2 linked regions of the Caenorhabditis elegans genome follow. The protein of the gene in region 2 interacts with the protein of the main gene of each other region in a pairwise test. Each region holds a gene or a part of one and is shown on either strand. Other genes may lie near its edges. The genes, in order: unc-37 and cog-1.

Region 1 (6,159 bases), on a different chromosome or scaffold from region 2:
GGAAGTTCTTCGCAACAAATTGAGCGGGCAAGCTAATGAAGAAGTTTGTGAACCGTACGTTTTAAATTTCAAAAAGTATTGTTTCTCCAGTTTATTATTGAATCCTCTTTTGTTTCTTTAAATAATTTTCAAGTAACGAGATGCTTTCAGAGCCACCAAACGAGGCCGTAGGGACCCAAGTATGGAAGATGAAGAAATAGAAGAAACTGAAGAGAGTACAACATCTGCAAGAAGAAGCTCCGAAGAACCCGAAGAGCCAAGAGATCAAGAGAACACTGTTGGAGTGGTATGTGTACGAGATTTTATGAGTTGTGTAACCACTACTTGAGCTGATTAATTCTAAGGCCGAAAAATATTTTATTTGGACAAAAACTTTAACTCTAAAAAATAAAGTTTCAAAAAACAATTCGGCAATTAAAATTTCGAAAAAATTAAAGTAAGTCTCCATATCTTTCAAAAATCTTACAAATGTTAAAATCCAAAAATAGTTTACTGTTTCAACAATTCCTATGATGTTTTGAATAAAAAAGAAATCATTATTTTTCAATATAAATTGTGGATATTCGGTGCGAAACTGTTTCAATGCGCTGATTAATAGGACCACATTTGTGTCAAATGTTCATTTCAATTTGTGAAATGATCTAAAACAGCGGCATCCCAGACATAAAATGTATGTAGTTCCAAATGCCTCGACCACATACATTTTATTATTCTCATTCACCCATTAAACATCCCTTTTCCATCAACCGACATCAATTTGACCCAAGGTGACCCTTATATGGGAATTTTCTATTTCTGGAACATAAATCTGACTTTCATTGTATTCGTTGTCATAATGATGACATAAAGTGCAAACAAATGTGTACACCATCGTCTCACCACCATCTGTTACACACATCCAACCAATTATCGCCTTCTCGAATCTTTGAATGTTTATAACCACCCATCACATCCCTCCTTTTTCGATAAAATCTAACATTGTGGGAAATGAATGTGTCAATTACTGAAATGAAATGATTGATCAAAGGGCATAACCTTGTTAGTTGTTGATAGCTTCATTTACCTTAATCCTTATATAAATTTACGCTGCCCTTAAATCAAGTGTCGTGTTCAAGAATATATTTTTCACGAGACGACTTGCACTCTTAATCTAAAAATGTATTTTTAGGTGAAGCAGGAGGTTGATGACGAAGAAGAAAGTGTCTCCAGAGGCACGAGTCCAGTCTTCTGATCAGTTAGCAATGAAACGACAATTATATTTGATTTCCTAATGAGTTTAAACTCTCGAGTTTTTATATGTGTAATATATTCTTCAACACTCCGGAATGCTTCTAATTAGTTACAAATGACAAAATGGAGCTTCATTCATGTTTTGGTTTTTTTTTAAATTTTCATGACTGCTACAGTATACCGTCTTGTTGTTTAATCTAATAGAATCATTCAAGAGTTTTTATTCTTTCCATTTGAATCTCAATTTTCACTATTATCATTTGATTCTCATCTCATTTTCTTACCGATTTTCAATCTCAAATTATTTAAGAACATACCATGTCAATAAACTTATTATTTGTTAAACATGATTTTTTAAAAATATTTTCTTCAAGACAGGTTTATGTCTCTTTATTCAATATTTCAACCTTTTCCGTTTTTTTAGATAATTTTGTGAGTTTTTTATACTGGAATTGTGATTATGTACATGTAAAATATTTATAAATGCTTCTCTCTATAGTAAGTTGCAGCTTCATCGTGTTTGATTCGAAATATTAGTTAGAAATCCTCGGATCCTCGTGTTACTTGAATATCAAACTTATTGGATACATTCATCTTCTACACTCGGGCTCAAAAGAGCTCAAAACAAATGTGCTCTATCGACAACTCCTCCCCCCATTCGGTCACCCATTCAGCGTCGCATTCATCGCCGCGCGTTCGTCCTCCTCGACACCAATACCTCCTTCATTCTTCAACGTTAGTGGGGCTATATGACCAGTCGTTTTGCAATTAATGTATGATTCTCTCCGTCTACACCACTGGAAACCCATGTCCTCTTTCTTTGTTTCTTCGTCTCGTTGTCAACGTCTATTCAAACCACGTGCTATTTCTTGAGTTTTGTTGTCTTCTCCCAATCCATCACTAGTCTGTTCTTCCTTGCATTTTTTTGATCGAATTTTTAAAACTCCTCTCATAATTTTTATGTTAATAATTCACTATCCACTTGATTGTATTTAATTTTCAGTAAAAATGAAGGCATCGTATCTGGAAACCCTCGATCGAATCAAAGACGAGCATGCGGAAATGTCGAAGCATGTCAACCAGCAACGAGTAAGCTTAATTTTGTAAGAGAAATTTTAGTATATTGAAAACAATTTTGCAGTCGGATATCGAAAAGGTTGCGTTAGAGAAAGAAAATATGAATAGATCGTATATGACGTACGCTGAAGTATCAAATACTCTTCGTAGCGATCTTCGAAAAGCAGAAGAAATCAACAAACGCCTTCAGGAATTCATCATGCAATCGGTAAATTAACTCGTCAATAATGTTATTAAAAAATCGAACAAAAATATAGAAAAAGCTATTACAATTTTTTTGTTGAAATATTTGAACTAAATATTATGGAAACGTTATAATATCTATTGGATTGTACCTTGTTCAACTCAAACATGCTCCTCTTTCCATATATTCATTTATAAATAGAAGAAAAATTATTATGTAATATTTTTAATTCATAATAATCAATTTTAGGTAATATTATAAATGTATATTTTTCAGTTGGCTCCTCAACTATCTCAAGATAATCAAGCAAACTGCCTCGCCGCACTGGAAGCTTTCAAAACCGCATCACCACGTGAAAATGGAAATGGAGCACCAGCACTTCCACCAGGTTTTCCTCCCGGTGCAGCTGGAATGCTTGGAATGATGCCAAATATGCCATTCGGAATGAGCCCTGCAATGAGTCAACTATTCAATCAATTCGCATCACCACATGTCAACGGTGGAGATGGAGCCGGTGGAAGTTCTGGAGGTGCAAGTGAAGCGAAAAAGGCCAAGCTGGAAGATCCAGATGATGGAGAACTTGAGATTGATGTCACAAATGATGATCATCCAAGTACTGCATCAAATGGAGGCGCAGCTAATAAAAATGGAAGAGATAGCACAAATAGTGTTGCCTCATCGGGAGCATCTACACCGAGCATCGCATCAAATTCTAGAGCAAGACAACAACAGCAGCCACTCGCTGGGCTTCAAGGATTGGAGCAAATGAACTTTTTAGCTGGATTCAGTACGTGTTTACAATCTTTTGAAGTGTGCTAAGTGGAGGGAGCAAATACCAAAACTTCAGGCAATGCCAAAATATTTCAATTTTCAGATCCAAATCTTCTCCGACAAGCTAGTGCTGCTGGAGGATTCAACTTTTTGAATGATCCCCATGCACAGGCCCGTCTTGCAGCTGCCATCGGGCAAATCGGTAGCAGACCGGCCTATTCATTCAAAATTGTGGACGGTGGAGTTCCAACACCTACATCCTTCCCTCCAGATGCACAGAAAGGTCCCGGAATTCCGACGTAAGAAAATATAATAATTGGCTTTGATTCAAATTTGAAAAAAAAAATTGCAGAGGTCTCAAGAAGAAAATGGAATTAAATCACGGAGAAGTAGTTTGTGCGGCCACAATTTCCCGTGATAACAGTCGTGTTTATACTGGTGGAAAAGGATGTGTTAAGATCTGGGATGTCAAAGAATCAGATATTTCTGGCGCAACGGTTGTGAATCGGCCTCCAATTGCATCCTTGGATTGTCTCAAAGAGAACTATATTAGATCTTGTAAACTCTTTGAAGATGGAAATACACTTCTGATTGGAGGAGAAGCCAGTACTGTTGCTCTTTGGGATCTTACAACTGAAACAAAAACTTTGGACTTGGAAACTGATTCACAAGCATGCTACGCGTTGGCGATGTCACCAGATGAGAAATTATTGTTCGCATGTCTTGCTGATGGAAATATCCTCATTTATGATATCCATAATAAGGTGAAAGTTGGAACCCTACCTGGACATCAAGATGGAGCATCATGTCTCGATCTCTCAAAAGATGGTACAAAGCTCTGGTCAGGTGGTCTTGACAATTCTGTTAGATGCTGGGATCTTGCACAACGAAAGGAAGTTGCGAAGCATGATTTTGCGAGCCAAGTTTTCTCTCTTGGATGTTGTCCAAATGATGAATGGGTGGCTGTTGGTATGGAGAATAATTATGTCGAGGTTCTGTCAACAACTGGAAAAGAAAAGTATCAATTGACACAACACGAATCATGCGTCCTTTCGCTCAAATTTGCGCATTCCGGAAAGTTCTTCATTTCAACTGGAAAGGTATGTTTTGATTATACTTTGTCATTTACCGTATTTCTTCTATTAGTATGGCCTCCCTATTAGACTTGCACTCCCTATTAGTATTGCCCCTCGGAGACCTTCCAAAAATTAGTATGGCACTCCCTATTGCACTCTCTAATAGTCTTGCGTTTACTTTTTTTTTATTGCAAACCCATCTCGCTAATTTCAGGATTTCAACAATATTTTTTGCCTATTGTGCAACAATTTTTCACAAAATTTATACGAAATTGAAGTTTTTGAACTTATAGGTTACAATTAAAATCAAAATTTTTTGTATTTTTACATAAGATTCGAGCTTTTTCAGAAAAAAACTAGTAAGCTCAAAGTCAGAAAAATATTCTGAAAATTAGTATTGCACTCCCTAATATTCTTGCACTCCCTATTAGTCTTGCAAGCGGGAAGACCATCGAAAAATAGTATTGCAGCCATATTAATAGAAGAAATACGGTAATTGGCTCAATTTTTCTAATTGAAACCTCATAATCTCAATTTTTCAGGACAATGCTCTCAACGCCTGGCGTACTCCATACGGAGCATCACTCTTTCAACTAAAAGAGAACAGCTCCGTTCTCTCATGTGACATCTCATTCGACGACTCACTCATTGTCACTGGATCAGGGGAGAAGAAGGCAACTCTCTATGCAGTTGAATATTAATTTTTTTCCGCAGTGAATTTATGATCATGATACTCAAAACCCCTATTCTGTACGATAATCGTTTCATCTCTCTCATCTCTTCTAATTTCGTTTGTCAAATTTTCGTATTTGTGTACCCTATTACGATTAATGTCACTCTATGTTTAAAACATTTATTTATTTGCACTACAAAACAATGATGATCTGACTTGACTTTAACAGCAATTAATAAAACATTTCAAAAATCTGAAACTCTTCCCTTCCTCTCCCAATCACCATATCGAGTTGGCTCTGGTCCAGCTGGTCCACCAACTTCTCCAGTTGACTTATTCACACCTCCCGGATGTTTCTTGAGGTGAGGATCTTCATATTGTTGTTCGTCTGCTTTATCAAGTGCTCCTTTCGGTGTCTTCTCAGCCATCACCTTCTCCTTCGCACTTTGTTTTGGTTTTATATCTGCGAATCGGCGGGAAGAATCTGAATCGTCAAGAAATTAGAAAATTGTTTTTTGTGTAAAATCCATACTCAAAATTGGACGAAGAATCTGACGAAGCATTTGATCTGAATATTTTTTTTAATTGTTTCAATAGGACTAATCTTGCGACTAAAGTTACATCGATATCTCCAAGGCTCCACCCATTTTTCCTTCAGTAACATATGAAAATATTGACAACAAATCTTTATCACATATATAAAAGTCCATAGAAACAAATGTTCTTTGATGCATTTCAAGAAAGTGGGCGCATAAGATCAAAAGAATAGGATAAGAGCTAAGGTAATTTAATTGAACATGCACTTGTACACGGCATAAATGACAAGTCCCATTGTAGTTGGAATCAGGAAGTTGGTCCATGTTGGTGAAGTCATAATTTCGGTGAAATCATTGAGGAGAGATGATGATTTTTCGTTTTTCGAAGGTTTCGCAGCCGCTGTCTCGACTTTTGGAACGTCTGATTCTGGCAATTGACCAATGAGATATTCATTGGCCATTTCAATAGCATCTTTTGAGTGCCCAACATCGAGGAATCCAACTGTAGCATCTTTACCGGCTAATTGAGTGATGACTTCTTCACCTCCTGGATGCTCATTCAAGAACTTTGTCACATCGTAGACCTGTAAGGAATGATTTCGATATTTAAAT
Region 2 (8,212 bases):
TGATTATTATGATTATGAGCCACTTGTCCTGAGAGAGAGAGCACGGGCAAATTCATTTCATTTCGTAAACGTTTTGATTAGGATTTGATAATAAAATGGGGGTCTCTAGTAGCACCTGCTATTAGATATACATATGTATTTCCGTAAAAGGAATTAGATATCCAGGTTCCTTAAAGGTTTCATTGTTGGTGTCATAGTTTTATTTATATATGCATGTTTACTTTAATTATTTACAAGATAAAAACTACCAAATTTTCAGGAAAGTTAGAAAAATTTTATAAGCTTTTTTTAAAAGAACCTTCGGGTTTTCTAGCCACCCATACCCCTTTCTTATTCAAATTTTTTAGTTCAAAAAGCCTATAATTTGGCAGAATATTTTAATCTTTCAATGATCTTTCGTAAATAAAATAGAAACACGTGTAATTATGAGTAATAGCCAATTCCAAAAATTACTTGGCATTTCGAAAATGGGCACGAAATTTGTTCTCAAATGTTTCGGAATTTTTAAGTTTGACGTGTAATAGTTGACATCAGCGGAAATTGTCTACTTTTTTGAGACGTTTTCATCTTCGGGCGGCAAACGATTTTTTCCGGCAAATCGGCAAAATGGAAAATTAAAGGAATCGAAATTTCTGTCAAATTTGCAAATTGTCGGAATTTAAAATATCAGGCAAATCGGCAATTTGCCGAAACTAAAAATTTCCGGCAAATCGGCAAATTTGCCTGAAAACCGGCAATTTGTGGTTTTGCACTTTTTTTTTTTGAAAATTCCAGAATTTGAATTTAAATCGGCAAAATTTTACTCACCCTATGAATGTTCCTACAAAAAAATTCAAAAATCGGAAAATAGTAGAAAATCAAAATTTCCGGCAAATCGGCAAACCGACAAATGGCCGGAATTGAAAATTTCCGGCAAATTGGCAAACCGGCAATTTGCCGTATTCGCCCACAAAAATTATGCCGAACGGCAATTGGCGCGCACTGCTCATTATTTTTTTTCTGCAAGATCCCAAAAATTCAGCCTAATATCTCCCAGATTTTTTTGTATTACCAGAATTACCAAAAAAAAACTAATACATTAATACGAATTCAAGAATTGTGACAGTAGTAATTTATCGCATTGTTTTTCCCCCAAAAAAATAATATTATTATTACTATTTTCTTAGATTCCAAGTTAATTCTTGGTTAATTCATCTCTCTCCCCCCTCTCCGAATATGTCAAACACTCGGATATTGTTTTTATTTTTTTTATAATTTCTTCTTCTTCTTTTTCCACCAATTCGCATTTAGTATCCAATCAGTTTAATTAAAAATGTACAACTTGAACAAGAAAATAAATGAGAGAGAGACGTATTAGTGAGACTGTATATTGGAATATATTCTTGGTTTTCTATTTTCCCAGTGATTCTGGGAAACGGGGGAATTTTTTTTAATTAGAAAAAAAAAATTTTGAAATTTTTTGAGTTTTTTGGAAACATATAACTTTTCAAAAAAAAATTACAAATTTATGGCTATGGAAATTTTAAATAAACATTCAAAAATTGTTACAAGGATTTTTTTAAATTTAAAACTATTATTATCTTGAAATGCCAAATTATTCTTCATAAGTGCCTGCCTATCGCCTACAGAATTAGGTACACGTGTAAGGCAGGCATTGGATGCCATGTAGACAATTATACATTTTTGTGCCTAAATGGAATTAAATGTTAAATTTAAAAAAATATATTGAAAACAGTTTTTTTCGAAATTCTAGGAATTTTTAAGATATTCAAAAACAGTTTTACCCAATTTATAGAGTTCTAAACCATTTAAAAAATTTCAAAAACTAAAAAAATTACAAAATCACTCTTAAAACCGTTTTTTTTTTAATTTTTAAGTTTTGGAAAATTACAACAAAAAAAACGTTTCCTCCCATTTTTTTGGATTTTTTAATTTTAGAAATTTAATAATTATCACTTTTTCTAAAATTTATAGCCCAATAGTCTTCTGTGTTGTGTCAAAGATTTCCATCCAAGATTTTTGAGCGCTTCTCAATTTTTTTTTTGCAAAAACTTTCACTATACCGGATTAAATCTTAATTTTTCATCTCTTCCTCCAAACTTCTTCAATTAATTTTTATATTAATTTTGCAGAACAATCTCCCCTCTACCATAACCAGATGAGCCTAATCATGTCCGAACCGCCACAACTCACGACGCCCGACGACAAGGACGTCGAGAATCGGAAGCACTCCTCCACCTACAGTATTTCAAATTTGTTGCTCGAGAAGAAGGAGTCGAGCCCGTCGGGCAGTTCCAGTGAGGATGACTCGGCGAGCAGCAATGATGATGATCAGCGGAGTCCGTCGGCAACTTCTTCATTCATTTTTCCGCCAGCTTCATCGTCCTCCTCGTCGGAAAGTGCCACGTCACCAACACAGATTATGGCTCAGCTTATGGCAAATGGTGGAGCAGTTGACCCGGGTCTTCAGGTTAGTGAGCCTCTTATGAATTCTCTCCTTTTTCCAAAAAAAAATAATTAGGCAATTTCCAAAACTTTTCGGCAATGTCAGGCAGAAAATATTTTTCAAAAAAAGATTACCGTAAACTTTTCGGAAGTTTTGGAATTTTTCGGGAAAAAAATTAGGTCAATTTTCAACAATGTGCGTTTTATGAATGTTTATAAAAAATTATTTCGAAAAATTTGGCCGGCATTTTTAAAAGCTAGATTTGGCAATTTTGAAATTGTCAAAAATTTCCAAACAATCTTCCTAAAATTTCAATTTTTCCAGGCATACTTCTTCCTTCTACAGTCCCAGTTAAACAGCCAATCAATGATGAACCGAGTAACACAGGAAAACGGTACGTTCCACTGAGCCCTTCCTAATTTAATAATTATTGGTGTCACTGTGCTCATTGAGCAATACGGGAAGGGGGAGCCTAAATGATTCAGGAGGGGGCCAGCTGCCTGCTACTGTATTCATATGTGGGTGCCTGGAGGGGCAACAATTGCATAATAATCACATTAGGAGTCGATTAGCCGAACATGTGTTCAGATAGACAGGAATTTGAATAATTTTCGATTTTGATGAATTCATAAATTTTGGGGGACGCAGAGTTTTAAGCCACGTATCTCAGGGCTCATGACAGCTATCAAAAAGTTGTCAACTGACAAACTATTGGAAATATTACAAGCTATTTTTCGCCAATTGACCAATTTTTGATAACTGCTCTGATTTTTGAGATATGGTAACTTGTAGTAATTAGCCATGTTCCTCAAAATTTCAATGCCAAACTTTGGCAGCTCATTTCTCGGAAATCCTTGAATGTATAAGAAAGTAGTCAACTAAATGTACCAGACAGCTGTCACGTAAGGTCGAGTTTCATGGCAGCCGACAAATTTCAGTTTTTCAAAATCAAATACTGCCAACTTTCTTGCATGTCTGTTAACCCATTAAGCGGCATCTGGTCTCAAATGCCAATTTACAACAATGTGTGAAGCTCGTAAAACTTTCGAGAATGCAACACACTTGGTTTTACAACCCCTCACCCATATGCCAGGCTACCGTAATAAAAAAGTTATATGAAGACAGTAGAGGGGGATAGTTATAATGAATCCAAAAACTTGCAAGAATCAAGGACGGCGTAATTAATGAGCCAGTTTGTGACGGAACACTGGCTAATTGACAGTTTACATACACACACACAGACACACGCACAATGGACTTTCCTTCGAAAGGTAGCAATAAATTGTCGACTAGCCAAAAAAAAGTTATATTTTCAATGGAACACTTTCCGGATCTATCTCTGAGAAGATAGGTAATATGCTAACCTCGGAAAACCAACACACGGCTGATTGAACACGTTTTCATCATAAATGCGTGGTGGTGGTGGAATTAGGTGCAACAAAAAACTAAGGAGGAAGGTCAGACTACTATGTACACATATGGCTTCCGGAATAGACACGCGGCGCCAAGGGAACGGGTGTATGGGGGATATGGGGAGTTAAGGGATTTATTTAAGGGAGAACTAGCAACCGACACATTGGGGGTGACTTTTTGTGACTCCATTTAACTATTGAAATATGCAACTTTAGTTGACAGCTTTTTGATAGCGTTGAACATCATGGAGCAAGGGTGTGCGGCAAACTTGCCGAACTTGCCGAATTTTCCCTTTGCCAAATTTGCTGTGCTCAGCAAATATAAAAAAAACAATTTTCTGAATTTGCCGAGCTCGGAAATTTTCAAAACTTGCGTGGTGGGCGGCAAACTATTTTTCTGGCAAATCGGCAAATCAGCAAAAATGAAAATTTCCGGCAAATTGGCGAACCGGTAATTTGCCGATTTGCCGAATTTGTCGGCAAAAAATTTTGCCGAAATGCAATTCTAATTTTTAAATTCCAGTAAGCCGAGCTCTCACCTCCTTCAACCTGCTCAACAACCTGCCCGGCGCCCTTCCATCACTCTCCCCAATGGGGCGACTCCAGCACTCAATGCAACTCTCCCCGAACTCCCTGAACATGCAGAAGAAGCAAAGCAGACCCACATTCACCGGCCATCAGATCTATCAGCTGGAGCGGAAGTTCGAGCAAACCAAGTACCTAGCCGGAGCAGATCGTGCACAGCTCGCCCAGGAGCTTAACATGAGCGAGAGTCAAGTTAAGGTAGGCATTTGTAGGCACTTTTTCCCGTGCAAAAATTGCTTTTTCTTCATCAAAAAGTTTGACAAAAGCGGGGTAGTTGAGTCATCATTCCAATACCTATCATTATATTATTATTATTATTATTATTATCATTACATTATGATTGGTACATGATATAGAAGAAAGACACCTCGTCATCATTTTCTTCTTCACACATTTATTGACAAATGGAAAAAGTAGTGGGGGACCGAATTTGCGATTCGGTATCCGGTTACTGTACACATGATACAGCCCATTTCACATATGATTGAATTTCGGAGGGAATATATGTTAGGAATTGGGTTTTATGTATATGATCTTCTAGAAAATTTGTAGAAAAAAGATAACCCAGGAAAATGGGACCTTTTAAATGTTATTATTTTTGGCAAATTGCCGGTTTGCCAATTTGGCGGAATTTCTTAGTATTGGCAATTTGCCGGTTTGCCGGAAATGTTTACAGGGATTTTTTATAAGATTGAAACATTTAAAACTGTGGTTGCGTACAATTTTGCCGGTTGAAATTGAAATTCTGAAATTCTAAAAAAAACGTGCAAAACCACAACTTGCCGTCTTACCGGCAAATTCGGCAAATCGACAATTTACCTGTTAGCCGATTTGCTGAAAATTTTAAATTCTGGCAATTTGCCAAATTGCTGATTTGCCAAAAAATTTCTATTCCACGTGTCATCTAGTCTATTTAATGATTGCTCATAGGATAGTTATGCATAATGGATGTTGTACAACAATTTTCAAACATCTGCCCAATTTCTTGTCTGTTTTCTTTCCGGAAATACTATCGGTCCCTCGGGAAGGCTTGTAGCAGCAGCAGAAGCCGCGGAGCAGTTCATTTCAATTCAAATATTTTAATTTTATTTGATATCATGTGTCGTCGAGTTTTGAGTAGAGGAGGATGGAGATGGACTTATGAGTGACGGATAGGGAAGATGGGAGGAGGAAAAGTTGAATAGAAAAAAAAACATTGGAATAAGTTTTTCATTGTTTCGGAGGGGTTTTGAGAATAATCTCGGCGACCGGAAAAATTCAGCATTTTGTGGAAAAATGTGGAGAATTAAAAAAAAATTTTTAAACTTCGGCACTTTCGACAACATTTCATTAATTTCTGCTTCTGGAAATTTTTTTTAGTTAAAAATTTTCGAAATTCGTAACTTTTGGAAATTTGAAACAATTTTACCACCTCTAAATTGTTGAAACTGCCGGATTTTGGAAAATTGACAATTCAGTAACTAGATAATTTTTTAACTTTTTTTTTGACAATTTACGAGAGCTTTTCCAGTTTTTGCCAAAAATGTCATAGAAGTTTGTCAAACTTTTAAGTTTAAATATGGAAGTTACACAAAGTTTTTAATTTTTCTGGACAATTTTTCAATTTTTAAAAACTGCTACATTTTTGGAACTTTTTGACATTTGTGGCAATGTCAACTTATTTGATTTGATTTATTTAACATAACTAATGCAATTTACAACAGTACAATTGAAATTTGAATGTTAAATAAAAAGGTAAAAAACAAAACTTTCAAACTCTACTAAAATATTGGCACAAAAATCGCCAAGTATGAAAATTTTTTACCAATTTTTCAAATTGCCGCAATTTGAAGCCTCAATTTTTTTTTATTTTTCCGGATTTTAGAGTATTTATGTTAACAGATCCTTGCAAAAGTAACGCAGATCCTTGCAAAAGTAACGCAGATCCTTGCAAAAATTGCACTAACCAAAATTCACTAAATTAACATAAAATCCTACAGTACCCCAAGTAACTTGAAAGTTACAGTACCTCTACAGCACCCATATAAGTCTAACTTCATTTAAACTACAGTAGTACTATAAACTATTTTCTAAAACTACAGTAGCCCATAGATTACTTACTTGATTAAAAAAATTGTATGTGCTTTTACAGTACTCCCATAAATTGAAAATCTCTTAAAACTACAGTACCCCAAACCTAGCTCTAAAAATAATTTCCCTGCTTCCAGGTGTGGTTCCAAAACCGTCGTACAAAATGGCGCAAGAAGGAAGCGGCCGACAATGCACTGGTCAAACGTGGTGCCAGCGGCGACAAGTCTCCTTGCTCACTGAGCCCATTTCTCAGCGCTGGAATTTAGCTTTTAAGCGTTCTACCTCTCCCCCTCCCTTCAACCGAGTGTATTATTCCCCCAATTTGTTTGCAATTTTTTCCTGAAGCCCTTTAAGAAAATCCAAAATCATGACCTTCTTCCGTCTTTACACCTGATTACCTGAATACCAACACCCCACACAGATGCCATGATCTCTCGTCTTTTCTCGTACTTTTGTATAATTTTTTTCTTAATTTTTTTGCATGTTTTCCCATAGTTATAGCCATTTTTTTTTCTTTTTTTTTCCAAATCATCGTCACTTATACAAAAACCAAACTCCCTTTTACCGTTAAACCATGCCCAAATACAAAAAATTTCCCATTTAATTGTACGTTTTTTTCTCTTCAAATTGGATTCTAATGACATAAATTTATTAGATTAAGTAATCGTTGAGGCATATTTACAGATACCAAATATTGTGGGGAACACGAAAAATTAATTAATTATCTATTCGAGTTTCGTTTTGATCGTCTGGAGAACGTTCATGAGCACGTCGAGGGTCGATGGTTGGGTTTCTTCGGCTTTCTGGAAAATTGAAAATGTTTGAAATTTATAAAATTGGCCTAGAAAATGCCTATGTGGCCTAGAAATCCCTTGTGGCACCATGGTCTAGAAACTACGTCAGTGCCTAGATCCCCTAGGAACTCCCCCACCTACCTTGTAACTTCTGAATTTGGACTTCAAGCAGCACACATTCTGAGCACACTGGTCGTATTGTGGAAGGCACGAGCAGGCGGTGGTAGGCACGTTCACGTACATCACACATGTGGTTGTCAGCGGGTATTGGGTGGCCGCGGTGTCGGCATATTGAACCGGGCTTGAGGAAGTTGGCATGGTTGGGGCCTGGGTGGTTGGAGCCTGGGTAGTTGGGACTTGAGTGGTTGGCTGAAAATTGTAAGGGTAAATTCGAAAAATTGAAGGGTTATTACCATTGGTGTCGGGGTGGTCTGAACTGGAGCGTACTCGTAGGTGTCGTATTGAACCTGAAAATGGTCAATTTGCAAAATAGTCGGTGGCGCCGAGCAGCCGACAAATTGCGGGTTCCACCAAACCCCGTGAATTGTCGGCTGCTTGCTTTGAAATGAAAATTCAAGTTTCCATGCTATCATGCCCTCATGCTCTCTACCTGTTGCTGTTGTTGTCCTGGCTGTGGGCACCCACAGTACGCATTTGGTACAGTAACCATCAACGTGGCACAGTTACACCTGCATCCACACCCGGACATGACACTGGTGGTCGGATCAAGACAATAGCACGTCTCTTGTCCGGTGGCCAACTGTCCGATGGCCGGGTATACGGTAGGTGGCTGCGCGGTGTACATGGACGGGTTCAGGAGTTGGGGCGCTTGCGTCAGTGGTGCTGGAGTTGTAGTTGTTGAGGTGGTTGTGGTGGTTGTGGAGGATGGTGCTGGCAGAGTTCCG

Evidence for each region.
Region 1: the proteins of cog-1 (region 2) and unc-37 interact in a two-hybrid assay, tested with the Caenorhabditis elegans proteins (2 studies listed by BioGRID).

The regions. Positions count from the first base shown.
Region 1 is NC_003279.8:6,741,404-6,747,562, reverse strand, and holds unc-37 (Transcription factor unc-37), read left to right. Parts: upstream 1-2,233; 5' UTR 2,234-2,238; coding exon 2,239-2,319; intron 2,320-2,371; coding exon 2,372-2,515; intron 2,516-2,767; coding exon 2,768-3,278; intron 3,279-3,365; coding exon 3,366-3,561; intron 3,562-3,614; coding exon 3,615-4,362; intron 4,363-4,880; coding exon 4,881-5,039; 3' UTR 5,040-5,256; downstream 5,257-6,159. Other genes in the region: fnci-1 (FANCI helical domain-containing protein), read left to right, coding at 1-54, 151-286, 1,169-1,231; W02D3.12 (Succinate dehydrogenase assembly factor 4, mitochondrial), read right to left, coding at 5,257-5,495, 5,544-5,574; cytb-5.2 (Cytochrome b5 heme-binding domain-containing protein), read right to left, coding at 5,799-6,131. UniProt on the Caenorhabditis elegans protein: Transcriptional corepressor that functions with the neural specificity gene unc-4 to govern motor neuron identity. In concert with unc-4, represses the expression of VB-specific genes such as ceh-12, thereby preventing the adoption of VB motor neuron fate.
Region 2 is NC_003280.10:14,900,361-14,908,572, forward strand, and holds cog-1 (Homeobox domain-containing protein), read left to right. Parts: upstream 1-2,132; 5' UTR 2,133-2,158; coding exon 2,159-2,470; intron 2,471-2,769; exon of another isoform or gene 2,770-2,770; coding exon 2,771-2,840; intron 2,841-2,974; exon of another isoform or gene 2,975-3,033; intron 3,034-4,381; coding exon 4,382-4,641; intron 4,642-6,650; coding exon 6,651-6,779; 3' UTR 6,780-7,173; downstream 7,174-8,212. Other genes in the region: R03C1.1 (Cell wall protein DAN4), read right to left, coding at 7,239-7,316, 7,449-7,676, 7,721-7,774, 7,918-8,212.